2 linked regions of the Pelodiscus sinensis genome follow. The protein of the gene in region 2 interacts with the protein of the main gene of each other region in a pairwise test. Links are inferred from orthologs where the notes say so. Each region holds a gene or a part of one and is shown on either strand. Other genes may lie near its edges. The genes, in order: PDCD10 and PGCKA1.

Region 1 (15,392 bases), on a different chromosome or scaffold from region 2:
GCCTACCTAAAAGGACAGGTGCTTAGAATGGTAATGCTAGTCATTTGAAGAAGTGGGTTTTGCCCACAAACAGTCATGATACCATCTACATGTTTTGTTAGTCTTTAAGGTGACCATATATCTTTAAAGTGCTACTAGACTATTTGTTGTTTTTTAAGTTTTTAGCATAGTAATGAGAGTCGTTCAATACAAAAACCTAGGATAGAGCGAGCGCCAGAAAAGGAAGTCAGAACAAGATAGTTAGAGAATCAGGCGCACACCTGGCACTGCAAAACACACAGGATATTGTCTCTACTCCAGGAAGTTGACTCTCCAGCTCATCACCTGGTGATGATGGTGGAAGTGTATTGACTCAATGGTACATTAAAAAAAAAAAAAAAAGATGCAATCTTATCTATGGCCCATTGCAGAAAGATGGACTGATGGAATGCTGAATATCTGAACCAGTATGGCAGACCAGCAGTTCTCAAACCAGAAGTTGGGATCACATATTAATGGGATTGTCAGAACTGGCTTAGCTGTTATTCTGCTCTGGGGCTCAGGTTGCAAACCCCCTGCTTGGGGCTAAAGCCATTGGGCTTTCATCCTCCACAAGGTGGTGCAGATCAGGCTTTGGCTCGGCCACCCAGGACAGTGGGGCTTGGACAGGCTCAGGCTTTGGTCCTTCTTTCTAGGCTTATGTAGTAACTTTGATTGCCAAAAGAGGGTTCTGGTACAATGAAGCTTGAGAACCCCTGTGGTAGAGGAGTCACAGGACAGTGCATTTACTATCTGTGACAGTCACTGTTCCCTTTAATTTTCCCATCCATGTGCAGAATACATTTTATGTGCACTGAGGCACATGTGGATGTACTCCACCAGTAGACATAAATGCTGCTGGTTATGACTGCTCTCCTAATCAGGTAGGCAGCATTTGAATTGCTCCTGGGTGGTCTCCCAAGCACTCAGGTTACAGGGAGCACTGATCTATAGCTCTTATGAATAGAAATGAGGTAGGATGTGAAATCTGTCACACCTGGGGAACCCGTCTTAGTTACAAGCCCAGCTACCATGTAGTTCATGAAAATTCTAAATTTCCAACACAATTCAGGTTCATTTATCTTTGAATTTACAAAACTTAGAACACTGCTTTCCCAGTGGACCTTACTAAATCCTTATTAAACATAAGCACACATACATCTATACAAACAAGACTATTCTAATCTGTAGATGTATGTTTAATTATTGGCAAATTCAATCAAGTCAGAAGTAAAGCCAGCAGGTTATCCATTCCACACTCCAAAGCCAGGAGTTTTATTGTGCTGCTTCCACCCCCAAAATTCTAGCTATCTTGAAGATGAACAAAATCAGGTTATTCAGACTTCAGGGTTAAAAAGAAAGGGAAGGAAAAAAGGTATGCCCCAGAGCCAAAAGCCCTTCACAAAAAGTCTGTTCTAGGTCCTGCTTTTTCATACAGAGGAGCTCCAACACAAGCACCAAATATTAACCCGAAAACCAGGAAGAACTCAGTGCATCTCACAAAGCACTGATATCACATGTTACATACAAGATACACCACTTAAGATGCAGGTTGCTGCATCCTGTGCCAGCTAACAGTTTTCAGTACATCTTAAAAAGGTGTTCCCTCTGTAGTAAAACTCTGTAACCTCAAAGCGACAAAGGCATGGACTGCAGTGGCATGGTCCATATTAGGAATGTTAAATTGTGTTTAAACAACCAATTTGATTAGTCAATAGAGTGTCCATCAACTAGTCCAGTGCTTCTCAACCACTGGTACAAGTACCCTTAGGGGTACTTGAGAGAAGTCGGGGGTGGGGGGGTGGAGGAGAAGAGAGGTAACGTCAACTGAAATTTGGAGAAAACTTAATTTGTGTTTTAAATTTTACAGCACTTCATTATTTTTGAATTTTTACACCCAAAAATGTCATTCCCACCCAGCTGTGATTAAGTTGTTTAAACAAATGTGTTGCAATGTTAGAAAAAATTGTGTGTGTCTAAAAACTGTACCCTGAGGGTACTTACAATTTTTTTTTTTTAAAAAGGGATACTTTATAAAAAAGTTGAGAAACACTGGACTAGACGATAAGCAAAGGAAACTGCAGAGCCAGAGCAGAGTTAGCTCCTAGCACCGGGAGCTAACCCTGCTGCAGCTCTGCCTTTTAAATGATTTGAGAGCCAGTAGGCTGATTCCGGGCTTGTGCCTGGTTCCTCAAGCTGTGCTTCAGTCTATTAAATGCATTAAGAGCCAGCCAGCTCTTAAGATATTTAAAAAGCAAAGACACAGCTCTAGGACTGGGCACAAGCCGGGAATCAGCTTACACCCAGTCCCCCGCCATGGCTCTGTCTCCCCTGCCATGGAGACGGTGCTGAGGGGAAACTGGCTTTTAAGCCAGCTCCTGCTCCCCACCCCCCTTGCTGCCTCTGATAGATGCAGTGCAGGGAGGGAAGGAGGGAGCAACTAAAGAGTCACTAATCAACTGACTGCTTATGCTTATCAGATAGTTGATTAGTCCCTTACATCCCTAGGCTACATCCCAACAAATTGGCCCTCTCACAACTTAGCAAAGATGGGGGGGGGGGGGGAAGGGGCTGTAATTTCTTCCTAGACACTGTTACTCATTAGTCAAGTATCTACCAACTCCATTTTGCAATATCTACTAACAAATAGAATATATCAATCCTCAATAAAAAGAGACTTTGTCTTGTAACTGCTCCCCTCTAATTACCAGCATTGCTTTTTGTCTTATCCAGATTGAACTTCAGCATCTTATTTTCATCCATACCCACAAACATAAGGCTAAGCAGCAGAAATCAGTTTACTGATCACCACCACATACCACACCTCTCCTCAATAATCTTCCCAAGTGGGAAGACAGAACTCCAGTGTTCTATAACCTGTATGATAGTGCCATTGGGTATGGAAAGGCAGTTGCCTAGCATAACTTTTTAGAAAATTTCAGTAAAAAAAATGAGGCTATATCTCATCAACTCATGATCAACTATAGAAAAAGTTATCATGCATTAATCCCCATCTATTACCAGCAGGAGGTCAATCAATATCATCAGTGTAGTTTCAGGTCAAGATCATCTAAGATATCAAGGTACTCAAAATTGAATCACTACAATTTTCCAAAAATTGAAGATAGACATCAGACAATAATTTAGCAGATTTCCAATGTCAAGTGTTGATTTCTTGAGCAGAGGCTGAGTAATAAATTTCCTCAGAAAAGTCACCATCCTACCCTCACTATGGGAAGCACTAATTGGTTCCTCAAATTCTCTAGATAGAAAAAAAAATTCAAAAGAGGTCAGGTTGAGGAACAATAACCCCCAACATTTCTACTGTCACTGGCTTAAACTCAACTAGAGAAAAAACATTTGTCCTGAGTAGACCCTATCCTCCATCCATAGAATCAGGAAGCTTGGCTTTTATCTTTGTAATCAGAAATTTCCTATCAGGAGGAGCTTGATTCAGCCACCAAGTGAAGGCAAGGTGGCAATGTTTGTGATTTGATGAAAAATAACATTGGTTTGTTTTAATCATGTTTCAACTTTATGAGTAACTAAACTGTACTCAGGTTTGTAAATGATTAACCAACTCTGGACAAAATATAAGCCACTATACTAAATTTTTCTTCATTTCAGGAAAAATTGCAGCAAACCTCCTGATCAATGCACTTTTGAAGGACCTGTTATTTTTGAATGAAAATTTAGTTTAGTTAGAGTAAATGTTGTTGCATTCACTGGAACAACATTGAATGATTTTACCAAACATGAGTCCAAGACAAATTCAGCCACTGTAATTAAATTTTTGCTAATCTGAGTGAAAATAAAATAAAAGAAGGAATAAGCATTTATTTGTATAGATTCTCACCTACCCTGCCTCACACACTGAGCAGTTTCATTGATCAGGGAACTAAAAGAATGTTTTCAGAAAGTGAAATACCCCATTAAAGTTTCAAAACTGGTTTATGCAAAAACTTTCCAAAAGTAAAGATCCTCCACTTATGGCTACACTTAAGCTATGTGACAATAAGCTATTTCAATAAAGTTTTATGTGCTTGGCAAAACCAACTAAAATCAGGTAATTTATATCCTTACAGTCATTATTGAGACATGTCTCCAAAAATGTTATACTTATATAGAAAACATAGAAGCATTTATAAATATAACTGTGTTCACTTACAATAAAAATGTAACTGCATATCGGAAATCAGGTACACTTTATTGTTTTGAATATGACTGACTGCCACCATTTAGATTGTGCAAACCATTTAAAGGAAACATGAATATCTGTCCCTGGAACTCAAACCACTGGTTTTCTAGGGATGTAAAATCCTGGTTAAAAAGTTAACCAGTTAAAAAGAATGTTAAACGTTCTATTTAACCAGGATCTTGTGGGCAGGTGGTTGCTCTAGCCCAGCTGGGCCACTGGTTAAGCAGTTACCGGTAAGGATCACCCAGTAAAGGTGATGCTTATTGGGTAACTGGTTACTCATCCCTACAGTCTACTTAATTAAAAAACTGATCTGAATCTCACCAGTTTTGCAATTTACTCCCATTCCAATAAATACATTATTCTGAAATGGTGAACACCAATGTGAGATTAACACCTCACAGTCAAGAGGCAGATGTTTTAAAAGTGAACTATGTTTACCTCTATCTATCCCTTACACAAGAAAGCCATCTTAGGGTGGGCTCCAATTTCTGTACATAGTCAAATTAAAGTGACTGCATAAAGTATAAATCGGCAAAGATCCCACACCTTTATTTAGTAAAGCAACAGATTATCATCATGGATGCAATGTAATCCCAGCAATGAACATGGAGAAGGTGACAATATACACCAGTTTCTAGATCAAGTTCTCTCTACCTATTCAGTCTCTGGAATTTGAACATAAAGCTACTGTTGCTATCTCTGAGATTTAATCAGGTGCAGCTAGAAAGTAAAATAGAACAGATATTTAAGAAAAACCATTATGTAACACTAATCTCAATATTACCCCAGCCCACCAAGTAAATTGTGAAGCTGACACAAGAAGGGAATCTTTTATTGGACCAATTTCTGATGGCAAGAGACAAGTTTTCAAGCCACACAGAGATCTTCTTCAGGTGAACTTATTTCCTGTAATACAGAAGCAACACAAAAGCTTGACCCTGATACTGTCATGCTGGAGGAGGGGAAATCAACCAAGCATGAGTTACAGATACTGCTTGTAGACACTTTGGAAGGTCATAAATTCGCCTGTTTTAAGTTTTCCTTATGTTCCTCTTCCATTATTAAACTGAAAAAGCAACTAATCATTCACGTTGTTTGCTTTTTTTTGCCACTTATTAAACTGGAATAACAAATAGGTCAGTTTCACTTTCGGCTTCTCATACACACTGCTAGAAGATTGGCGTTACAAAAAACAACCACCCCCACCCGCAAACCCAAACCAAACCAACTACAAAAGAGAAGCTGCTCCTATCATTAGGTCCTGAAAATAGTTTACAAACTAGTAAATCAAACCAAGGCCCCGTTTCCAAACATTCCATGCCAAGGGCACACAAGAGATGCACTCAGACCAAGACTTTTTTTTTCCAAGTGAGGGAGGATGCTCAGCCTGCCATTCAGAAACTACTCCGTCCGAAAATCGGGCCCCCTTAGAGGTGGCCCAAAGGGGAGACGGGTGCGGAACAGCGCCAGCCAGAAGCACTACACCCTTAGCCTCCGGCACGCGGCGGGGGCAGAGCGAAGCCTGGCGACAGGGCCGAAGGGCAGCCTCCCCGGGCTCGGGTCCGGCTGTGCACCTGCACGGGCTGACCTCCGCCTGCTGCTCTCTGCCGGGGGGAGACGCCCGCCCCCAGCCCTAGGAGCCCAGGCCCTGGGCATGGCCAGCCCCTCCTCCACAGCGTGGCCTGCCCCGCCCCACTGGAGACCCACAGCCCCTCTGAGCGTGACCCTCAGGCGGGGCCCGGATTCTCCAAGGCGCCCTACGCCCCGAGCGCAGCGCAGCCGCGAGGGAATCAGCAGGCCCTACACAAACACACTAGTGACCCTGCCCGAGCCGTGGGCACCGAGCGCCTCGTCCCCCCCTCCTCCGAAAAGGGGGCACACACAGCCCGGTACCTACCTCCCCCCCACCCCTCGGGGACTTTAGAGTGGGCTCCGCTGCCTTGCCGGAAGTGCCTGCGAGACGGAAACGTTCCCCGCGGTGACCACACACACCAGGCGTTGCCGGAACCAACCTGCAAGCCGCATGGGCTCCTGGGACCTGTAGTGCCGTTCCACACGACTACAACGCCCACAAGGCAACGCGAGGGCCAGCTTGCGGCGTAGAAGGGGGGGAGTAGGAAGAGTTGGAGGAGGAGTCGTCGCAGAGCTAGCCCAATTGGAGTGCCGGACTAGACGAGGGGGCGTGGTCCCGAAAGGGGCGGGGCAGGCGTGAGAATTTGCAGGCGTCGGCAGACGCCACAGAAACAATTCCTGAAGCGGTCTCTGGACCACAGGCTGCTCCAACACCGGCAGGCTCCCCGTTCTAGCGTTCGCAGCTGCTGCAGAACCGCTCCGAGGGAGGTAAGCGCTATCAGTTACTTGGCTGGGCGGGCGACCTGGTTGCTTGCGGTGGGCTCCTCGCCCTAGGAAATCCTTTTTTCGCCGACTCTCTGTTTTGTTGCATGCTAAATGTTTGCACGTCCATTGACTTTGCGTTGCATTTGTAGGGAGCTGTTGGAAAGTCTCCCTCTGACTATGGCTGAACACTGGTGCGTGTGCAGTGTATGTGTGAGTGCTTTAAACCCACTTCACTTGTCAGTTGTTCAGACAGCTCGCTCACAACGTGTGAAATAAATTCCTGGCTCCGGCTGTCGATATTTGTTACCTCGTCTAGGGATAGGTTGGTCGCCACCCCTAAAATCTTTTACCGTATTAAATAAAACGGTTTTTCTTCACGCTCTAATGTTTTTTATAGACTGTGTATGCACATCCCTTATAGATTTGTAGAACGGAGTCGTGGATTTGTTGTACTTGCCTTACGACTGTGTCAATTACTGTAAACTGGGACCAGCATCGGTTGTTTGTTGATACGATTCAGGATGTGTTGTTTTCTACAGCAAAGCTATTTAGAACTCTGAAGAAGTTCTTAAAACTGAAAAAGAAATAAAATAAATTAATTATAGGTGTTCACTTTTAAATTACTTGAGAATGAGTGCAGAGGTAGTATTTAAAACAGGTGGATACTTTAGTGTGTGTGTGTGTGTGTGTGTGTGTGTATATATATATATATATATATATATATATATATATATATATATATATATATATATAAAAAATCTGTGTGTGCATATATGTAGTTTGTAAGTGTACCCTATCAGTAGAAAAACTTTTCAATTTGAGTATAAAGTTACTTTCTCTTTGTAACAGAAGACTTTTGTATTTTGTGACTAAAATACACAACACGCCATATCTGAAATCTCCCTCCTTCAGAATCTCACACATCTCTTGACATCTCAATAGAATGACTAGCCTCCTCTGCCAATGTATATTTACCAGACTATTTGTATATTAATTATTTTAGATACTAATTTGTATGTAACACTTGTTATTAATAAAAGTATTATAATTATGTAAAGCAATTTCATATTTTTAAATCAAAGGTACTGTAAAGGTCAAAATCATATCATTGTTCTAAGTCCATCCTTTTCCCTGTTTAAGCCATGCTAACATTGGTTAGTTACTAAGAGCTACTGTTACAGAAAAGCTTTTGAACTTTAACATTAAAACTTAAACATGTCAAAAATTTGGCTTTAAATTCAGGTGTCTTAAATTTGTTACCTCTATGTAAAGAGTTTAAGAATACTGTATAAAATGATAATGATGGCACTTTTCCTATGAAAGGCTTACAACAGCTGAATGAATGGGTAAGTGATGATATAGCCAATGGTTAATAGTTTCCCTTTAGCAACAAAAAGGGACTGTCTATGGAACACCATACATGCCATACAAGCTCCAACTTTGCAGTGTAGAAACAGAGATCTCAAGTATTTGGAACTACAACACAACATGGAACCGTGCATCACCTGTTAGGTCCCAATAACTGAATGCATAATGAAAGCCATACACAGGATGGTAACTCAGTGGTATGCTCTAATTAGAAAATAAAGGTATTCCCTTCACTGTGCCCTGCTTTGTTTTATTTTTAACCTTTGTGTCATCCATTGAACACCAATTAATGCACATCTCTAATTATTGATGAGGAAGACCTCAAATTTGTGTAATGTGCAAAAATATTAATATCATTAATAGCTTTTAACTTCATTTGGCATCCCAAAAACATTTGTTTCTATAGTTGTAATGGTAGGTCTTGTTTTGGTAAGCCCTATGAAGGGATGGGGGGGAGGGCTACGGATTGGGTGAAGTGTCTTGTGCTTTGCAGAGTCCACAAAACAAATCAATGGGAGGATGTGTGGGTGGGGCGGAGGGGGTGAGACAGACATAAACTGTTTCTTACATGTGCATAAGGACAATAAACTGTGTGTTTCTAAATTAAGTTGTTTAATAATGCAAACTTCTGTTTAAAAATATAGAAGAATATTCTATATTCATGCCCCCTTTTTGATTTTTTGAGACCCCCTCATTTTCGCCCCCCCCCCCCCCCGAAAAAAAAATTAGCAGCAAAATTGTTGAGCGCAAAAAAAAAAAAACTGACCAGGGCAGCAAAACTTGATGGGGGTGGAAGGGGCTGGGATGTCTTGTGCCCCTCCTGGAATTTCTTCATGCACCTCCAGGGGGCATCCCCAAAGTTTGGGAACCCATGATCTACATCATCCCTGATATCTATCCAACCTGCTCTTAAATATCTGCAGTGATGGAAATTCCACAACCTCCCTAGGCTGTTTATTTCAGTATTTAACCACCCTGACAAGAAGATTTACCTAATGTCCATCCTAACCTTCCCTTGCTGCAATTTAAACCCATTGCTTCTTGTCCTATCATCAGAAGACAAGAACAATTTTTCTCTCTCCTCCTTGTGACACTCTTTTAGATGCTTGAAAACTGCTATTGTGTCCCCTCTGTCTTATATCTTTTAAACTAAACAAGCCCAATTCTTTCAGCTTTCCTTCATAGGTCATGTTTTCTAGACCTTTAATCATTTTTGTTGCTCTTCTCTGGATCTTCTTCAGTTTCACCACATCTTTCTTGAAATGTGGTGCCCAGAACTGGACACAATACTCCAACTGAGGCCTAATCAGCACAGAGTAAGCAGAAGAATGACTTTGCGTGTCTTGCTCAAACGCTCTTGTTAATGCATCCCAGAATCATGTTTGCTTTTTTTTGCAACAGTGTGACACTGTTGACTCATTTAACTTGTTGTCCACTATGACCCCTAAATCCCTTTCCACAGTACTCCTTCCTGGACAGTCGCTTCCCCGTCTGTATGTATGAAACTGATTGTTCCTTCCTACGTGAAGTATTTTGCATTTGTCCTTATTAACCTTCATCTTGTTTACCTCAGACCATTTCTCCAATTTGTCCAATTTGTTTTGAATTTTGACCTTATCTCCAAAGCAGCTTGGTATCATCTGCATACTTAATAGTCATACTCTCTGTGCCATCATCTAAATACTTAATGAAGATATTGAACAGAACCACAATACTTGATATCCTTTCAAAGAAAGCTGTTAGATTGGTTTGACATAATTTGTTCTTTCTTCACTCAGCACACAGTCAACCTGTGGAACTCCTTGTCAGAGGACATGGTGAAGGTTAGGACTTCAGCTCTTTTTTGAACCCTGTTAGATAGATTCATGGAGGTTAGGTACATCAATGGCTATTAGCCAGGATGGGTAGGAATGGTATACCTAGCCTCTGTTTCTCCGGGGCTGGATGATGGGAGAGATCATGTGAGGATTACCCGTTGTCCCCCTCCCTCTGGGGCATCTAGTATTGGCCACTGTCGGCAGACAGGATACTGGGCTAGATGAACCATTGGTCTGACCCAGTATGGCTGTTCTTATGGTAGTAGGCAACAGCCAGCATGGATTTCTATTACCATATTATCTTCCAGAGGTTTGTAGATGAATCCCTTAATTACTTGTTCCATTATCTTCTCTGGCACAAAAGTTAAACTGACTGGTCTATAGCTTTCTGGATTGGTCTTATTTTTCCTTTTTATAGATGGGCACTATATTTACCCTTTTCCGGTCTTCTGGAATCTCTCCTGCTGTCCATGATTTCTCAAAGATGAGAGCTAAAGGCTCAGATATCTCCTCTAGCAGCTCCTTGAGTATTCTAGGATGTATTTCATCATGCCCTGGTGACTTGAAGACATCTGACTTTTCTAAGTAGTTTTTCACTTGGTTCTTTTTTTATTATTATTACAGGCAGTCCCCGGGTTACGTACAAGATAGGGACTGTAGGTTTGTTCTTAAGTTGAATCTGTATGTAAGTCGGAACTGGCGTCCAGATTCAGCCGCTGCTGAAACTGATCAGTTTCAACAGCGGCTGAATCTGGAGGCCAGTTCTGACTTACATACAGATTCAACTTAAGAAACCCAGTCATCCCCAAGTCAGCTGCTGCTGAAACTGATCAGCAGCTGATTCCAGGAAGCCCGGGGTTGCAGCAGCGGCTGACTTGGGGACACCTGGGGCAAAGCAGCTGGGGTGCTGCTGGGTTGGTCCAGCGCCACCCAGAGTGGCGCTACGGGACCAACCGGCAGCGCCCCAGCTGCTGTACCACAGGCGTCAGGAGCAAAGCCGCGGAGAACGGGGGCAGCGGGACAGCCCAGACGCGCTGTGGCTATCCTGCTGCCCTCGGGCTCCGCGGCTTTGCTCTGCTTTGCTCCCCGTCCCCAGGGGGAGCAGAGCAGAGCAAAACCGCGGAGCACGCGGCCAGCGGACAGCCCAGACGCGTCTGGGCTGTCCGCTGCCCGCGTGTTCCGCCGCTTTCCTCCCCGTCCCTGGTCTGCTGGAGACCAGGGAGAGGGAGGGCCCTGTTCATAACTGCCTGTATTTTAACTGCTAAACCCACCACAATTCCACTAGCATTCACTGTTAGGAATCCCATCACCACCAAACATCTTGGTGAAAACTGAAACAAAGAAGTCATTAAGTGCCCTTGCCACTGCCAAATTTCCTGTTGACTGTCTCTCCCTCTTCACTGAGCAATGGGCTTACACTGTCTTTGGTCTTCCTCTTGCTTGTAATACATTTGTAGAATGTCGTCTTGTTACCCTTCATGTCTCTAGCTAGATTTAGCTCATATTTGTGCCTTTGCCTTTCTAATTTGCCCCTGCCTTCCTGTGTTTGCTTATATTCATCCTTTGTAATTTGATTGCCTTGTTATAAAGCAAGTCTTATGACATGTTTGGGGCACTTCTATAGAATAGGCCAATGGTCAAATGGGTAACAATGCTAAGTGGTTTTTGCCTAAAGCACAACTATTTCCGCTACATTTTATTTTTTTTACAATGTACATGGGGAAAAATAAAAGAAATAAATGTATACATAAATGGTTGAACAAGCAATATTCAAACTGTCATTTGCCTGAGGCCAGTGATATGATCAGAGCCCTGCAAATCTGTGAATATCAGCTTTATGTCTATGGACTGTGTTTGTGGATAGCAGATGGATACAGATCCAACATTTTATCTGCAGATTTGCAGAACTCTACATATATCAGCTTTATATCCATGGATATCCACATCCAGAGAGCATGTTTGTAGATCATGAATCACAAGTGGATATAACTATGTAGAACCCTGTGAGGATACAATATGACTTTACTCCATGCGGGAAATATGGAGACAATGAGAACCAATGAAATACGGTGTTTTAACCTGATCCTGACAATGTAGAAAACTTTTATCAGCTACCTCTAAAGGTTATTTTAGTAATAAGTTGGAAGTACCTCTTCTTTTTTTTTTTTTTTTTTTTTTTTTTTTTTTTTGAACACTCAGCAGACTGCAAGTGAGTTCAGCAGCTATCATTAAGGTTAAAACAGTAATGTATAATTGTTTTAATCTTAGTGACATAGGCTAAAATGAAACACTCCCAAGATGCAGGGAGAATACTGCTGTAAAATATCCCACCAAAAACATATACATGAAGGTTTGAGTAAAGTCAGATGAACATGTAAAATGGGGGGGGGGAGGGGATGGATGGTCAGGAACTACTTAAAAATTGATTTGCCAATCATGCTGAATTAAATCTGAAATCTTTCCCCTAAAGTAAGTGGAGGCACACTGACGAAGGAGAGGAAGATTGAGTCATAACCATTGACAGTATTTTTTTTTCTTGGTTAATGTAGATAGTTAAAATTTACGTTTTTAAGGATCTGCTTTTTATCATTAGTAGGTAGATCATAGAGATGTCACTGAGTAGTCAAGTAGACAAACACCAAGAACCCTAAACTTATCGGTTCACCATGTTGATTACTTGCATTCTCTCTTCCTCCCCTCCCGGCCCCATGACTGCCTCTGTATCAGAGGTAGGAAGGGGTGGGGGGGCCGAAGCAGGAGCTTGTGCTGGTGGGAGCCAGCTTAAAAGTTGGTCCCCAGCGCTGGCTCTGTGGTACCACCTGCCTCTTCCCCCTGAGGCAACAGTGAGGGGGCGGGGGAGGCGGCAAGGGAGGCTGCCATGAGGCAGCCTGTGTCCACCACGGGTCTGGGCTTGCCGAAGGCAGACGCTGCTTTCTTCCCACAGACTGAAGCTACTCTGCATCCAATGGAGTAGCCTCTGTGGGGAGCTCAGACCCCCGCCCCCCGCAGACAGGGGCTGCTGCCACCCTGTGCTGCTGCCTCTGGTAAAGAGGCAGCAGCATGGGCAGCAAGCAGCTGGTCCGTGAGGGGTGTAGTTTTTAAACTGATTCCCCTCGTGGACTGGCTCCCCCTGCTACCCTGCACTGCTGCCTCAGAGTAGCAGGGGCTCCCCTGGAGTGCGGTTACATGACTATTCAATTATACGATCGCTACTAGGGAAGTTTGCTAGATATCTCAAGAGCATGGTCTTGGAATGTGTTTCGTAAGTGTGGAAGAGAGAAAGTGTGATGGGTTGCATCGCTAAGATCCTCCTAGAGAGTTTCACCCAATGTGCTGATCATACCACTGATCCCACATACCTGCCCTCTGGGGTGCTCCACCACCCTGCCTTTGTGGGCCAGAAGCTCTGACCTCCCAGTAAAGCACAGAGTTGGGATAACCTCCCCCCTCCTACAGCAGACCAGAGATGTGGAGGGAGTTCTGGGAGGGCTCAGTTAGAGACTCGACAGCACCCAGGAATAGAGCTCCAAATAAGGATCAAACCCCCAGACAAATCCATCTTATGCTGTGTAAAAGTTTTACAGCAAGAAAGTTCATAAAGTTTACTCCCTTTATCAATGAAAGATAAATGCACAGCTGTTGCTTCCCCTGGTAATAATTTACATTGGGTTTCATAATAAACCGAGTTAGTGTATTTAATAAAAGGATTTAAGTGGTTGCAAATGACAACAGACCAAAGTAAGTTGCTGAGCTAAGCTAAACTAAAAAAAACATGACCGCTAAGACTAATGCATCAAGAGAAAATGGTACAAACCCTAATTTCTCACCCTAATCCTTATTCCAGATAAAATTCTTAAAAGCAGATCTGGTCTTTTGTCTGACCCTTAATATAATAGCTACTCCCCTTGTTAGAGTTCTTTTTTTTTTTTTTATTTTCCCCAAGGTTCTTTCATGTGTTCCTCTGTGGGGGCAGGGGAGAGAAGCAGACTTTGAAGCCAACTGAAGACCATAATCGATGGCTTCCCATTCCTTAAAGAATTTCCCCAGGGTGGAAAGTCTTTGTTCCATTCCCTGCATCCCCCACCCCTGTGGATAAATGACAAATTCAAGATGGATCAGCTGGAATGGTTACATACCTTTGTTGGACCAACTACTGTTTAGGCTTACAAGAAAAAGTCTTCACAGATCATTGTTTTGAGCACTGGGCCATTAAGTTCCTTAAGTAACACTAATGGTTTTAAGTGAAAGACCTAGGTATATCTCTATAATGTTATTAATCTATCACATAGAGCTGGAACAGACCTTGAGAGATCATTGAGTCCAGTCCCCTGCTCCCACAGCGGTGCCAAGTGCCATCCCTGACAGATTTGCCCCAGATCCCCAAATAGCCACCTTAAGGATTGAACTCACAATCCTGGGTTTAAGTAGGCCAATGCTCAAACCACTGAGCTATCCTCACACTTAATATTTTTAACAGCAAATGCAAGAATGATACATGCTATGACAAAGTCAGACCAGTTGGCTGCAGTAGAGTGGGAAAAATACCCTCTTCCCTGTTAACTAGAAATGGGGTAAGTCATGGTCAGCTGATGGGTCTACCTCAGACCAACTAGTATCAGCTGAATTCCATTTCAGGGCTGCCTGAGACCTTTTTAAACCCTCCCAAGTTGGGAAGTGGGGGGGAGGAGGAGGAGAGTGAGAGAGATACCTAGGCAGCTACTAAACTAGGGTACATCTGCACAGCAGGACAGAAGTTGAATTAAGCTATGCAACTTCAGCTACAACAATTGCATAGCTGAAGTCGAAATAGCTTAATTCAGCTGTTGGCACTGTCTACGCAGCAGGAAGTCGAAGGAAGAACACTTTTCCGTCGACATCCCTTACTGCTCATGAAGCGAGGGTTACAGGAGTCAGAGTAAGAAGTCCTTCAGCTCTCCATTATTTTGAAATGAAGGCTTACTGTGTAGATGCACACTTTATTTCAAAATAATGTCAGATTTTTCTGAATTAACGCTGTTGTGTAGAGATGTGCCCCCTAGACAAAGCAGGGGAGCATCTCTGGGAGAAGAGGCTGGGTTCCTTACCATAGGGGGAAGACATAGGTTTGCCAGATGGTTGAAACAAATACCAAACACCCTCTTTCCCCCCCCCCCCCCCCCGGAAAAAATTCTGTGGGGGGGGCGGGGAAATTCTGAAAGGGGGGAGGGAGACCAAAGATGTTGAGCAAAAAAAAAAAAAAAAGGACTCCAAGGACTTATTGAGCCAAAAAAAAAAAGCATTACAACAGAATGTCCCCTTAAAGAGTGAATGCAGCCTTGGGGAACCAGGTAAGCATGAGGGCTGGGGGTGTTGGGGTCAGGGGGGAGGCCGGATGCTGAGTGTTTGTATGGTTGCCAGGTACCCAGTATTTTCACCTACTGGCCAGGGAAAAGTTCAGAAAATACCGGACATCTCAGGTGTCTGGCATTCTCTGATTTTTTTTTTTTTTTTTTTTACCAGACAGGAGGCTAAAATACCGGACGGTCCGGGTGAATAAGAAACACCTGGCAACCCTAGGGAGACAACAAGCATAAAACTCTATTAGTTCAGGGGCTGCTTTATCCAAGGCCTATGTCACCACGGAAGAGAAATATACAGAGGCTAGCAAGGGA
Region 2 (16,043 bases):
GATCTGAACTTCTTCTAAACTAAACCAAACCACTGGGTTACCAAGTAATCAGGCATTTACCTATATATTGGCTACTTCAGTAAGCCATTGGGCTAATTTCCCCCTCTCCCCTTCTAATGCACTGTGTAATGCCAGCTGACCCTGGTCTTCTGCAGGCAGAATCAAACCTGGGATCCTCTGGAACTTAGTGCATGAGCTAAAAGCCATCTGGTGCTCAGCTAAGGCTATAGAACAGACTCCCTTTACATGGAAGAGTATACCAGTAGGTGTGTGTTATAACTTCAGTGCACATCTGGGTTAAGATGATACAGAGGTAACCAATGAAAAACCCTGCTGATTTCTGCTTCCTGTTGTATTAGCCCACAGTCTCTTCACTACCCCAGACTCCTGCCAGCCAGTGATTAAAAGCACCAGTTTGAATTCCCTAACTGGTTCCTGTTCCACCTACAAAACACACAACTCCTCCCTGCTTAGGGTTATGAGAGAGGAAGTCCAGCAGCCTAATCCTCACTGCCAAGATAAACCCAGCCATATTTCATAATTTCTATTACAATCTCAGGCCTCATCAGACACCCTCAAAACACCTGACCTTTTCAGAAGCAAGTGTGGGATGAGGATAGATTATTTGAGCAGACGAATGGGAAGGAAAGAGAAGAAACAAAATAGATTTTGGGCAGTAACGATATCCTCATGGGCTTTTTATGGTATGAACTCCGGTTCGCATGATGTGCTGCATAGGTATCAGAATCTCATTTAAGAATTTCAAAGGTAACTTGTGAATATGCATGTGAGTACACATGTATGAGGTCTGAGAGAGTAGCAGGGCTGTCCGTGGTGGGGAGTGAGGTAATGCAGAAGATTAGTGATGAGTGAAGACAAAGAAATGAGTGATAAGGAAGATGGGAAAAATCAGTGGTGAGAAAAGAATGGAAAGATTATGGAATAGCAGGTACAGCTGGGAAGAGGAGAGAAGAAACACAGGAATAGAAAGGTTGGAGACTATTAATCTTAAGCAGAGAAACACCAGCATATAGTAAAAGGAGGGAGGAAATGTAATGAAAATAAGGAAAAGGGAAATAGAAAAAGAAAAATGAGACACAAATTTAGAATTCCAATCCAGCAAAAACGTAAGCAGTATCTGTCATTTGGGCAACAAATATGCTTAAACGTGGTTTGCTGGATTGCTCCCTGTTTACTCTACAGGTTGAAGTTAAAATGAGAGCGAAATTAAAACTATGTAGATTCTTTAAATTTTAAAATGATTCAGAATTCTTTGGTAGCAGCATTCTTTTGATTTATAACCCAAACTATGCATAGTTTGGTATGGAAGCATCAGTAGGAAATCCCTAGTTAAATTTGCATTAAGATTTGTCTCTCTACTTCCTACTTTAAGAACGGAACTAAGTCTTGAAATTTACCACAATAGCGCATCAGAGGAAAATTAATGTTCCATGTAACTACCTTCTTTAAGAAAAGCAATTACTAGCTAGCTTGAGCAGGAGAGAGACTTCTAAATGATCCCTTACTGAATTTGATCCTGATGTGTCTCATATTTCTCTGGCTCTCTGTAACCACACAAACACAATCGTCCCAAATTCCACCTTCCTTTCAGCACACCCACACTCTGTCTCATAGTATAACGTGAGAAGTCACTTTTATGCATGATATTTAAACACACATGGTTGAATTGGCACCTCACAATTGGTCCCCAGTAGGAGGAAACATGTAGTTACACCATTCCAACAGCAGAATAAAGGCCACGCTGTAACTCTGAAGGTCACAATTCAGTCCTTGCTTCTGCCACTTTTTCGTAAGGAAAGTAAGTGCAGCAGCAGCATTTTTCCTGCTTTACCAAAAACCAAACCTCTGTCTGCTGCATGAGGAGCATCTCTTGGCAGTGTCTCTTCTCCATGCTGCTGCCCTTGAAATGCTTATTCTACTTTGCTGACTTGCACAGGAGCATTAATGGGGTCAGGTGCCCCAAAGAACTGGTTCCCTAATTTTCCACTTTTAATTTTGCTTTGCATGGAAATACTGCCAGAGTTGCCTGGATCCCCCAGCTTCTCATGTTTTATGCTCTCACCCTGGCCTGACTCCCTAACTTATCAGCTGTCCTCCTTCTCAAATCTCTCTCCCCTACTGACTATGGAAAGGCAGGAAGAAAAGTTGCTTATCAGGGAGCCCTGGTCCCTAATCCATAAGCCTTCTTCCTCCATTGTTCCACTAAGATGGAGTGTACATCAGTGCAAGGTCAGAATCTCAAGCCTGACTTTGCAGTAAATTCCATCCTGTGTTTGCTTTTTCCCAACCTTAAGTATGACCTGAGATTTTTTTTCATATATGAACTTCACCACTGCAAGGCTGTGTCTAGACTGGCATGATTTTGCAGTCAAAAGTTTTTCCGTTAAAAGTATTTCCACAAAAGCGCGTCTAGATTGGCACAGATGTTTTTGTGCAAAAAGTGCTTTTGAGCAAAAGCATCCATGGTCAGTCTAAATGCGATTTTGCGCAAGAAAGCCCCGATCGCCATTTTAGCCATTGGGGCTTTTTTGTGCAAAACAGTTCTTCCCTGTCTACACTGGCCCTCTTCCGCAAGTATTCTTGTGCAAGAGCAAGTATTCTTGCAAAAGAAGGCTTTTTCCTGAGCGGGAGCGTGAAAGTATTTGCGCAAGAAGCACTGATTTTGTACATTACAAAGTCAGTGTTCTTGCGCAAATTCAAGCGGCCAGTGTAGACAGCTGGCAAGCTTTTGCACAAAATCTTGCCAGTCTAGATGCCCCCGTTGTGTTTGGCTACAATGGGTGCTGTTTAGGGATGTTAGATGGCAGGTAATTTAATAGTCATGTAACTGCACAAAATACTGTCGGTTTCATGACTATTTGATAGTCCCCGGGGGTGGAGCCAACAGCCAGCGCACTCCCAACCCCACTCCCAGGGAGCGCCCTGCCACTCCCCAGCACTGTGTGGGCTGGCAGGCGGGAGCTGGTTCATGAGGGGAGCCAGTTTAAAAACCAGCTCCCTGCTCAGACTGTCTGCTTGCTTCCCCGTGCTGCTGCCTCTGATAGGCAGCAGCACAGGGTGGCAACAGCCCCTGTCCACAGGAGTCTGAGTTCTGTGTGGACAGAGGCTGCCGTGGGGCGGGGACGGGGAGGCTGATGCGAAGCACCCTCTGTCCATGGCAGCCTGTGCTGGCTGTGGGCGAGGCTGTTCTGGCAGGAGCCCCTGTCTGCAGGGACCCCCCAGCTTCCCACAGACAGAAGTTACAGGAGGCCTCGGTGGGAGGCGTAGCAATCTTCTTGAAACACTTTTTTGAAGCAATTTTTATAATCTAAATATCTCAGAAGCCCATTTGACAATATTTTCTATAATGTTTTCCATAAAAAAATTGAAAATCCCTAAAATAAAAAATCTCATTTGAACATTTCAAAATGAAAACGATTTCATAATGTGTGTGTGCTTGTAAAATAGTTATTTGTTATTCAACCAGCTCTTATTATGGTGTTTTAGTGGTAAAGTATATTGGAGGTTGGCGCGTATGTAAATATTTTCTTAAGTAGTGATTCTGGTTTTAAAAATATTTCATTAGCAGATAATGCATTTGGGCAACACTAACTCTCAACAGATTTTTGTATGGGTTTTGTGTATGTGTATTGTTAATGGTACATTATGCTCATCTGTCTTACCTCTGTGACCTGCTCTCTTTCTGAGTTTTGCTAGCCCTCCCAGCTATGCTCAAAAGCTCTTCCAAAATTGATCTGCCAAGTCTACAACTCAGGCTGGCTGACAAATGAGAATTCTATTGGCCTCATTCCACACTGGAACAGAAGCCAAACCTTTGAGAACATTTTTTCAAAACAAGAACAAGCCGACTGTTTGGAGGCACTCAGGAGTATGGGGGAGACCCAGGTTTAAGTCCCTGCTCTGAATCAGGGAGATTGATTCTATGCCTTTCTGGCTCTTCTGTTTGGAGCTGTTCCATTGGAGATAAATAAAATAACCACTGGACCAGAGAGAGAGAGATTGATTTGGTAGCTGGTTCTCCATGGTGCCGTCTGCTCCCTCCCCTGCCCTGCTGCCTCTATCCGAGGCAGCAGCGGAGGGGAGTGGGAAGGGGGAGGCTGCCATAAAACAGCCTCTGCCTACAGCGGGCCCTGGCTCACCCTGGACAGAGGCTGCTCTGCATCCTGTAGAGCAGCCTCTGTCTGTGGCGAGCCTGGGCCCACCGCAGGCAGAGGCTGTTTTGTGGCAGCAGTCCCTATCTGTGGGGTGGGGTTGGGTAGTGTGCCGAGTTCCCTGCAGAGAGGGGTTGCTGCTGGAGGAGCCTCTGTCTGCAGTGAGCCTGAGTCCTCTACAGGCAGAGCAGTGCTGTCTGTGGTGAGCTCGGACCCCTCTGGACAGGGGCTGCTAACACAAAACAGCCTCTGCTCGTGGCAGACCCAGGCTCGCCGTGGACAGAGGTTGTTCCAGCAGCAGTCCCTGTCCACGGAGAGCTTACCCACGGACAGTGGCTGCTGCTACCCCATGCTGCTGCCTCTATATCGGAGGCAGCAGTGCGGGGTGGCAGGCAGCTGGTCTGCGTGGGGAGCTGGTTTTTTAAATTGGCTCCCCTTGCAGACTGGCTCCCACCTCATACAGAGGCAGTAGCACAGGGCTGCAGGGAGGGAGCCAGTCTGCATGGGGAGCTAGTTTTTAAACCAGCTCCCCATACAGACCGGCTCTCACCTGCCACCCTGCACTGCTGCCTCTGATACAGAGGCAGCACTGTGGGATGGCAGGGATTCCCTGGGAGTGAGGCCAGGACCGCACTGGCTGCTGGCTTTGCCCCAGGGAGCTATTGAATAGTTGTGTAACTGATAATATTTTGTGTGGTTACACAACTATTAATTTACCCACTATCTAACATCCTAACATAAACATTTGGACATAGAAATTGTTTTGTTGTCACAAATAGGACTATTACTTCAGCAAGGGAATAAAGGAAAAGCAGCAGAACCCTTAAGCAACTCAGTTGCTGTTGGTGTACAAATATTCAGAGTAAAAATTGTTACTCAAAATTAAGATATGATAGAGGTCTATAAAATCATGAGTGGTTTGGAGAAAGTGAATAAGGAAAAGTTATTCACTTGTTCCTATAATATAAGAAGTAGGGGCCACCAAATGAAACGAATGGGCAGCAGGTTTAAAACAAATAAAAGGAACTACTTCTTCACACAGCACATAGTCAATCTGTGGAACTCCTTGCCTGAGGAGGTTGTGAAGGGTAGGACTATAACAGGATTAAAAAGAGAACAAGATACATTCATGGAGGTTAAGTCCATTAATGGCTATTAGCCAGTATGGGTAAGGAATGGTGTTCCTAGCCTGTTTGTCAGAGGGTGGAGATGGATGGCAGGAGAGAGATCGCTTGATCATTACCTGTTCAATTCACTCTCTCTGGGACACCTGGCATTGACCACTGTCGGCAGACAGGGTACTGGGCTGGATGGACCTTTGGTCTGACCCAGTATGGCCATTCTTATGTTCTTAGTATTTAAAAATAAATTATTCCCCAAATTACAGCATACTTACCAAATAGCCAATGGGAGTTGACCGATCATGATTTTAACATCTGGCTGTGTGGTAACACCTGAAAATATATGTGTGTGTGTGTGTGTTCAAGAAATCTGCCAAAATAATAATAATAATAATAATAATACCACCACCGGGCTTTTCATGCCAGGACCTCAATATGCTGTGCAAACATTAATTATTACAATTTACTTGCAAATTACTTCGAACTATTAAATGCTACAAAAAGGGTTTACTTCTGGCATATCCACAATGGTCAATAACGGAGGAGTATGGTCTTTCGGTCAAAGGATGTGTCTAGCATGTATCGTGGTCAGGTACATGCTTCAGTTTGGAGTATATTTCTGAATAATAAGAAAATGCATCCTTATGAGGTGGAGCCCAACTCCTGACTGGTGAAAACCTGCGCTAATTGGCAAGATGCCTGGAGCAGATGCTGTACCTGCTAGCATCCCTCCTTCCACTCATTATGCTCAACAGGGCAAGATTTGGTGTGAACTGTATTTGTCCAAAAATACGTACTAATTGGTGTCTGTATATGCAGTAATAATATTAAGAATTTTTAGCAAATGTAGTTTGCCAGATTGTGTACATTTTTGGTGGTGACCTTACTACATGAGAGGCAGCCCCCTTTTTCCCCTTCTCCCCCTTTCCTTTCTCTGTTAATGATTTTATCTGGTCATCATGATATCTTGTGCTCTTTAGTAACCCACACACATTCTGGGTGTGGGGTGTAGTTGTACTGTTGCACCTTGTGGCAGTAAGATCACTTACAGAGAGAATGAATCTGCTCTACAGTCTGAGCTGAAAACCCGCAGGGTTTTAGCTCCTGTGGCAGAGGCTTATGCATTAAGCTCTAGATGTCCCAGGTTCGATTCCGCCTGCTGGTGTTACAGTTGCATCTTCTTTGTCTACCTTTCCCCTCTTGTTGAAGACTCCCTGACCAGCAGCTACAAATGAGCAAAGCTCTTCCATTGGAAGCAAAGTTTAAATGTTCCCACCCAGCACTGACAGACACTTCCTGGCACATGACAATGTTTGTTTAATGCTGTTTCACAGGTGACTTGACACCAGTGTGGTGTAGCTCATGCTGACTCACAGTGATGGTTTCTGCAGTAGGCATATATGGTTGCCTAGCTAAGCTTCTCATAAGACAGGTAATAATCATTCCTGGTTATTTTAAGCCCTGCTGGCTCCGTAACCTCATAACTTTGTGTGTAAAATCCCTCCTGTTCTCTCTTGGTGCCGTGTTAGATCTTCTCTCCCCAGTGGAAGCTTTTCCAGCCCTTGAGCATCATCAGTGGTGGTATGTTAGCTATTTTTTCTCCAGGAAGAAGGGAAGGTATTTTCCAGCCAGGTATTTTATTTTGCTTCCTTCATAAGGAGGCCCCCTTAAAGGCTGTTCTGCGTACCTGAGAGTGTTGTGCTCCTGCAATGCTGCTCCTGCTTTCCAGCTTTCTCTCTTAACCTGTCCAGCATTCCTTCCCTTTATAAAACAGGCTTTAGCAGGGTTGCCAGATGGTTGAAACAAAAATACCTAATACCCCGTCCCCCCCTCAAAAAAAACCCACAGGGAAAAAATTCTGTTGAATAAAAAAAAAAGGGGGGGGGGCGAGACCAAAGTTGTTGAGCAAAAAAAAAAAAAGGACTCCAAGACTTAAGTAATAATAATAATTAATAATAATAACAAAAATAAAACAGCATGTCCCCTTTAAGAGTGAGTGCAGGGATAGAAACAGGGGAGTGGTTGAGCACTAAGACCTAGGGGAGTCATTGCTTCCCCTTGATCTTTTTGCCGGCAGCCATTTTGTGACGGCAGCCTTGCGGAAACAGGTAAGCATGGGGTTAGGGAGCTGGAGTTGTTGGCTGCTGGGGAGTTTGGGGGTGGGGGAAAGCCGGGTGCTGAGTGTTTGTAGGGTTGCTAGGTGTCTGGCATTTTCGCCTCCTGGCCAGGGAAGAAAAATCAGAAAATACTGGACATCTTAGGTGTCCGGCATTTTCTGAATTTTTTTTTACCAGACAGGAGGTGAAAATATCAGACTGTCCGGGTGAATACCAGACACCTGGCAACCCTAGGCTCTAATGTCCAAGGCTGCATGTGTGAGTTACTGCTGAGTACTTAGGGCCTGGGCCTGCTTGGTGCTGAATGCCTTCTGTGAGGTACTGAGCTCCCTTGGGTCTCACTGAGGTTGATGAGAATTGTGGGTGCTCTGTGCCAGGCAGAAGATGTTCACTGCCTTTGCAGGACAGGCCCTTAATGACTAACATGTTTGCTTACAGTCTTTGTGCTGTTATCTAGTATCCAAGTTACTGCTCTGAGATATCTCCACTTTGAAAAGAGCTGTGTAACATGGTGTGTAATACTCAAACACTTAAATTAAATTAATGGAGATTGTCTGTCTCCTAGAACTGGAAGGGACCTTGAAAGGTCATGGAGTCCAGTCCCCTGCCTTCACAGCAGGACCAAGTACGGTCCCTGATAAATTTTTGCCCCAAATCCCTAAATGGCCTCCGCAAGGATTGAACACAACCCTGGGTTTAGCAGGCCAATGCTCAAACCACTGAGCTATCCCTCCCTCAGTAGCTTTTCTATTCCTCTTCATGTCTGTCTTTGTCTCAATGTTTCTCTAGCAAACACTCATACTCTTGTGTTGTGTGTGTCACAAAAATCTTTGTTTTTTTTTATATGGCATTTGTCTCTTTTCCAATTCCATGGAGGAAGTTAGAGGGACTACAGACTTGTAAGGCGCTAATTAGTAAAAGCGTATGGTGGGTCTTAATCACACTGATCAGTAAAACATAGTGAGGCATAATTCTGTCCTTTACATTATTATACCTTTAAAACAGAGAAGAATGTGTCCTGTCTGAGATCCCTGTTCTACCACCCAAAATAGTAAGTCAAAGAAAATCATCTCACCCCACAATTTACCATGTAAAATTAAAATATCATTTTCATTTTAGATTATTAAAAGGAAGTATGGGGCAAAGGGTAAATCCCTTGCAATCATTAGCTAGTGTGCAGATGGGACAAACAAATACCAGTTGCATAAAAATAACTCACTTCCTCTTCAGAAGCCTTTCCTGGATTTACTTTAATTTCTCATGATTGCTGAAGTTCATTTGTCCTAGGTTGTAAGTGACCACTTGTATTAATTACTTGTATCTGGTAGTGTCTAGGTGTCAGGGCCCCTTTGAGCTAACCGCCACATACTTCTCTAAAATGCAGACCCTTTCTTAAAGAGTTTTACAGCTTAACCATATGACCAGAGGCAATAGATAGTTCCAGCCAACAGCTGAGGGGAAAGACAAGCTAAGAGCATGCGAATCATATTTGATTCAGAGAGTAACAGTCACATCATGTCCACTGCTTCCCCATTTTAATATCCTTTGTTCCCTTGGTTATTGTTTCTAATACTGCATAACACTGTAATATCACTACTTTGTCAATTATTACTTAAGTGTGCAGAAGATGGACAGTTGGTCATTCTAGCCAAGGGTGATCACATTGCTGGGATTCTGTACCACTAAGTGACATCACTGGAATGCACAGACAAAGCCAGCTCAGAGCTGAATTGGCAGCTGAGTCTGGTGTGCCAGCATATCCTGTTTGGCCAGCATTACTAGTGTCTGACCTCATCCACCAATCCATTGCTGCAGTATTAATTTAGGTCAGCTTGCTCACAGTAATTATAATAATAAAGAATAGGTATGTCAGATTCTGAATGTGTGTTCCCGTGCTACATATGTCAGTGGACATGTTTCTGTACCATTTGGTACACTTTGTCTGGCCTTGTGTTCTTAGCATGAGTTCTTACAAACACGCTTATTGGCATAATATGTAGTGGGAAGAGAGGTGGAAATACATTCAGCTGCAAATGGGATTAATTTTATTTTAACATTGTTCCAACATAATATGAATTATATTGTAATATGCTGCTCAATCTATTTTAAAATATTCTGTAAGTATGAGGCTCTTGTGGGAGAAAGTGTTACTCACCAAATTCTGGGGTTAGAATGGGAAGTTCAATCTAGAAATAGTCTTTTAAAACTGATTATTTTTAGGACACTATTTAAAAGGCTTTAATGTGGCCTGCTCAGATGAATGCCATATAGTAGGCTGTAGAATGACTCGAATGTATTGATGGCAGCTTGATTAAGGTTCCAGGATAAGCTGTCTACATCGGTAACATTCACTGACAGCCACCATGGGCCCTGGAGCAAGGTGTGGGGGCTAGCTCCACATCCTGGAAGGCGTGGGGCTGAGGGCAGAAGGGGTGGGGTTGAGGGCAGTCAGCCCCATAGTGTAGCCCAGACTGCAGCACACACGCCTCCATGCCCCAGCCCTCAGACACTCGTGGAGCGCCCGGCGTGGCATGCTGGCAGCAATTCAGAAGGACCTGGGCCAGTGTTCCCTCTAAGATTTTCCATTCGTGAGCAGAGTGAGTTTTGCCTTGTGCACCAATATTGATGTTGTGTGTGCTTCTTTGGATGTGTGCCACCCTGGCACCCACAAGTTACTAACAAAATTTGTATATAAATTTAAATTATGTAAGAAAAATACTAAAACAAGGGATAATTAACAAGGTTCTATGATTCTAAGGTGCATGACTCTGCACCTACCCACCCTGAAAACCACCCAGCTTGGCACCTAGCCTTGCTCCCACCGTTACTGCATCCGTGGGTTCCCCAACCCCTACACTCCCAACCTGTGCACCCTTTACCACTAACCCTGCATTATGTCCCCTTCGTCCCTAACTTCTGCACAGTGCCCCTTTCATCCCAGCCCCTGCACTTTTCTCCCAGCTGTGCCTCCAACCCCCACCCTGTGCTTCCAGCATGTCCTGCCATGATGCCCCCTGCCCAGTATCCTCCTCCCCCTTTGCCCAGCAATACCCATGCCCAGGTGTCCTTTGCTGTCTGGCTGTGGCACCCTGGGGATGAGCCCAGTTTGCCCAGCCCTAGGGCCGGCCCTGCGACAGGGCAGCTGATCACCATGTGACTCTGGCCCAAGCTCTCGCTGCCACTCCCCACATGGCAGCTCCGGCTGTGGCTGCTGAAGCTGCTGCTGCCACCTGCTACATGGCAGTCCCGGCAGCCAGAGCCACCCACCACGTAGCCTGCCCTGGCCACAGTTCCAGCCCTGGGGTGCAGGTGCGCACCTTAAAGGGAATCATGGCCTGGGCTAATGGTGAGTCTCATCCTCCAGGGTAGTGGAGACTCAGTGTATTATAGATACACAGTGTTACTGAAACTTGTGGAGGGAATAGCAGGACTTGCTTACTCGTTTGCCCAGCACCCATTGCAAGCCAATTCAGCATTTTGCTGAAGTGAAGTGAAGAAGTGAAGTGACAAGTCCTTGGGTTGTGAGGAGAAGCTTGGAAATGTAAACGAAACCAAGACAGTGGTCGGGCTAAAGCCCAGGTTCTTAAGATTCTGAGTTTAGATGTTCTTCAGTAAAAGCAGAATGTTCTGCATTCATAGGATCTGATTATCTGCTTCGTAACTTAGGAAACACAATTAGCTGCAGTCCTGACTGGGGAATTCAAAGGACCATTGCTATTTTGCTTCAGGGATTTTTAAAGGAAATCATTAGAAAAATGTCTTGTAGTGAACTTGTTCGACACAGTGTATGGATATGCTTGGAGGGAGGCATGCTTTGGGAATTAATATGTACCAGACATACTTAAGTTTTAATGTTTTATTTTAAAACATGTGCCTGCTTAATATGGAGTTACAGTCAAAATATTGTGATGTAAAATGGCAATGCTGTTCCTTGTGTATATGGCCTTTCATGACAATCTTTAAACTGTTTTTGTGTCCTAATAGTCTACATTTGGCTTTCAGGACCTTCCTCTTGTATTCCCTTTATATTTGAAGTACCATTCTGGACCTAGTAGATCTCACTAGAGGTTTTGGTAGATGTTTTGTGAAATCTGCCACCTATTTGCTGTTATGGCAAGTCATGTAATGTCTGTTGTAGTCACCACCTACCCAGCTATCTCTCCATGTGTCCTTCAGTCATGACACTGATTTAATCAACTGGAGAATCAAGACAGCCTTTTCTGAAGTTGGCATATCGTAGAGTGCCCTTTTACAATGTCTCCATAAATAATTAGGTTTCCCCCCATTTAGCAGCTCTGGCTGAAAGATGCTGAGGGATATGTGTTTCTTGCTCTGGGCGCATACAAGTGGCCACAAGGCAAACAGTCATGCATTTAGCCCTCTAGGACTCACCCAACTCCCTTTGATGTAAACAGAGGACTTTCCATTGAGGTCATTGAAAATTGGTGCAGGGCTACAGTGCACTGAACTCCATAGTCCCTACCCTGACTAATCTATGGCTATTTCTCTAGTTCCTTTGGATACACTGAGGTTTTTTAATGTAATTACTTTGCTATGCTTTCTTCTACTAGTTCTTATTTGAGCATCCCACTCTTCTTCGCACCAGACTCCCATGCTGTTCAGACTTCCGTGTATTTGCTCTGTCTGATGCCTATCTCAGCGTGAGAGCTTAGATCAGTGGTTCTTGATGTTTTGAGACTCAGGACCCATTTGTAAACATTTATGGCCTATTATGACCCAGTAAATGGTGTGGGGATAGAGGCCCTGGCATGGTTTCAGCCAGATCCTGCCTTCCCAACAGGCTGGGGCCTGCTTGGCACTAACCTCCTGCAGCTCCTTTTTGGCGGGACTGTTTGAGCTTGGCTGTCTGCTCTAGGGTCGCCTGAGTGGACCAAGTGTGAGTGGAGTTATGACCTGACTCATGGAGTTGCAATGGCACTCGGACTTGTACAACTTGGACTCCTGTTGTCACAATGGCTGGGCCACTCCTGAATGGCGCTGGGATCCCCAAAGGTGTCAGTGCCTGGAGCAGAAATGCAAGCCTTATGGGACAGGAGCTGCCACAAAAACCTTTGAAACAATCTGTCCCAGTTTTGGATCCCGACTCATGGGTTGAGAAACCCTGCTTTAGTTTATTAAGGATAAGATCTAAATCCAAGGCCACATCTGCACTTGCTGGAGGATCGATGCTCTAGCGATCGATTATCTGAGGTTTGATTTAGCACGTCTACTAAAGTAGCTGTGATGAGGAGTAAGGAAGTTGATGGGATTGTTTCTCCCATCAACCTCACACTATGGGACTGTCCTAGAAAACTGATGCAAGTTATGTTGACTACAGCTATGAAATTCACATAGTTGGAGTTGCCTATCTTGCATTGATTTTTCTCCACCAGTGTAGACCTGGCCTTGGTAGCTTTCTCAAAAATACTTCTGGTTCCAAATAGAGCAACAGCTAAACAGGGGAGACGTGATGGTTTTGTGGCTTAGAAGACAGTGCAAAGAGGAAGGGTTTAAATGTATTTGGTTCTGTGGAATTTTTTTGGCTCAAGAAGAGCCTGTACAGAAGGGATGGAATTAAATTGTTGTATGAAATATGGACATGATTTTAGTGGATAATTTGAATGCTGAAGAAAGCCAACAGGTGCTAAGAAGCACTCAGGTCAGACAAAGACGTCTATTAAGGGATGGCAATAGAACAAAGGTGTCTCTGTATCCAGTAAAGGATAGGACAGAAATTACAGCTAAACTATAGAAAGGACAGGTTGAGATCAGAGAAGTACATTCCAGAAAAATAACAGGGTATCAGATTAAAGAGTTGAATTAAAATAGGCACACAGCCAGAAATTAAAACTAGAACTGGCTAGAAATGAATGTGAGAAGCCTACATTTAAAAAATAGGTGAACTAAAATGCCTGATAATAAAAAGGGATCTTGATAAAGTAGGTATTTCTGAAATATGATAGGATGACAGTAGTAGTGGGCTAGTCAACAGAAAATCATGCTACCTTGTTACAAACTGGTTGTTATAGCGCAGCTTTCTTATTGCTTCCTCCGACGCATCAGGTGCTGGCCACTGTCAGAGACACTGTCTGATGCTAATTTCTATGCTTTCTTTACTATCAGCAGTGCATAGTTTATCCAGAAAAATGAGGACAAGCTTGATTTCTGACTTTGGTATCAGCAGCTAATTCTGCTCTTATTTACATATTTGCGACCTCCCCAAAATTAGATGAGGATTGGTAAAATGCAAGTAAGGGCAGAATGTATACTACAAAATATTTATTACTGCAGGTACCTCATGTTATGCTACCTTCTGAGCCAGAACAACAAGGAGGTTTTACTTGCATAGGTCCTCAAACTCCTACTTTAGACTTGACCAAAGCCTACAAGCTTGCTGATGGTGGAATCACTTTCTCATCTTGGGATGTTTGTTTTTGTTTTTTTCCTTTTTGGCTTTTCTAGAGGAATTTTTCTAGAGTCAGTTTTATAAATTATAGAATCATAGAATACTAGGACTGGAAGGGACCTCGACAGGTCATAGAGTCCAGTCCCCTGTCCTCATGGCAGGACCAAGAACTGACTAGACCATTCCTGATGAACATTTATCTAACCTACTCTTAAATATCTCCAGAGATGGAGATTCCACAACCTCCATGGGCAATTTATTCCAGTGTTTGACTACCCGGACAGTTAGGAACTTTTTCCTAATTTCTAACCTAAACCTCCCGTGCTGCAGTTTAAGCCCATTGCTTCTTGTTCTATCCTCAGAGGCCAAGATGAACAAGTTTTCTCCCTCCTCCTCATGACACCCTTTTAGATATCTGAAAACTGCTATTATGTCCCCCCTCAATCTTCTCTTTTCTAAACTAAACAAACCCAATTCTTTCAGCCTTCCTACATAGGTCATGTTCTCTAGACCTTTAATCATTCTTGTTGCTCTTCTCTGGACCCTCTCCAATTTCTCCACATCTTTCTTGAAATGCAGTGCCCAGAACTGGACACAATACTCCAACTGAGGCCTAACCAGCGCAGGGTAGAGCGGAAGAATGACTTATTGTGTCTTGCTCACAACACACCGGTTAATGCATCCCAGAATCATGTTTGCTTTTTTTGCAACAGCATCACACTGCTGACTCATATTTAGCTTGTGGTCCACTATAACCCTAGATTCCTTTCTGCCATACTTCTTCCTAGACAGTCGCTTCCCATTCTGTATGTGTGAAACTGATTGTTCCTTCCTGAGTGGAGCACTTTGCATTTGTCTTTATTAAACTTCATCCTGCTTACCTCAGACAATTTCTCCAATTTGTCCAGATCGTTTTGAATTATGACCCTATCCTCCAGAGCGGTCGCAACCCCTCCCAGCTTGGTATCATCTGCAAACTTAATAAGTGTATTTTCTATGCCAATATCTAAACTGTTGATGAAGATATTGAACAGAGCTGGTCCCAAAACAGACCCCTGTGGAACCCCACTTGTTATACCTTTCCAGCAGGATTGTGAACCATTAATAACTACTCTCTGAGTACGGTTATCCAGCCAGTTATGCCCCCACCTTATAGTAGCCCCATCTAAGTTTTGTTTGCCTAGTTTATTGATAAGAAGATGATGCGAGACTGTATCAAATGCCTTACTAAAGTCTAGGTATACCACATCTACTGTTTCTCCCTTATCCACAAGACTCGTTATCCAATCAAAGAAAGCTATCAGATTGGTTTGACATGATTTGTTCTTTACAAATCCATGCTGGCTGTTCCCTATCACCTTACTACCTTCCAAGTGTAGATGATTTCCTTAATTACTTAATTATCTTAATTAACTTCTGTGCCAGGAAAGATAATGTAAACTAACTGGTCTGTAGTTTCCTGGGTTGTTCTTCTTTCCCTTTTTATAGATGGGCACTATATTTGCCCTTTTCCAGTCTTCTGGACTCTCTCCTGTCTCCCATGATTTTCCAAAGATGATAGCTAGAGCCTCAGATACCTCCTTTATCAGCTCCTTGAGTATTCTAGGATGCATTTCATCAGGCCCTGGTGACTTGCAGGCATCTAACTTTTCTAGGTGATTTTTAACTTATTCTTTTTTTAAAATTTTATCTTCTAAACCTACCCCCTTCCCACTAGCATTCAATGTTCATTGTAGTGAAGGATGGTACTCAGAGTACTATAGAAGTGAGAAGACTAGGAAGTTATTTTCTTAATTGCTAGAGGGGTAAAAACTGTGAGGAAAAAGGGTTTGGGACAGATTGGTAATTAGCACTGTCTAGCAAACGTGAATGATGTTTCATGAAAAGTTTTGATTCTTTTGGCATTTAATTTCATGCTGTATTAGAATAAAAACTAGAATTTTTGCAGTTTAGAGAGAGATCCCACAATAATCAGTAGCCTGAATGCTAGGTGTTCGAGTCCCTGATTCAAAGCAAGAACTAGAGTCTCTTACGTACCAGGGGACTATCCAGTTGCTATTCTGAGGTGATAGATCTTTTTTCCCTGTAGACCCGAGAAACCACCTCAGTGAAAAAGGCCACTTTTATCAAAACATTCCTCACCAACTCGATCAGCAATATTGCTATTTAATTAGTAATCAGCACTGTAACATCACCACCACTCCATGGCAGCATAGCTGTTTACTTT

What was found.
Region 1: the proteins of PGCKA1 (region 2) and PDCD10 interact in binary tests that used the Homo sapiens proteins (3 or more experiments, as listed by UniProt). The two-hybrid records come from large-scale screens. The link is inferred for Pelodiscus sinensis from reciprocal best matches to the Homo sapiens genes PGCKA1 and PDCD10.

Annotation. Positions count from the first base shown.
Region 1 is NC_134720.1:37,049,041-37,064,432, forward strand, and holds the start of PDCD10 (programmed cell death protein 10), read right to left. Parts: upstream 6,254-15,392; 5' UTR 6,117-6,253; intron 1-6,116. UniProt on the Homo sapiens protein: Promotes cell proliferation. Modulates apoptotic pathways. Increases mitogen-activated protein kinase activity and STK26 activity. Important for cell migration, and for normal structure and assembly of the Golgi complex.
Region 2 is NC_134715.1:94,230,462-94,246,504, forward strand, and holds the start of PGCKA1 (PDCD10 and GCKIII kinases-associated protein 1), read right to left. Parts: upstream 7,063-16,043; 5' UTR 7,048-7,062; coding exon 6,981-7,047; intron 5,627-6,980; coding exon 5,569-5,626; intron 1-5,568. UniProt on the Homo sapiens protein: Acts as a tumor suppressor. Acts as a tumor suppressor for colorectal cancer cell proliferation by targeting KEAP1/USP17/ELK1/CDK6 axis.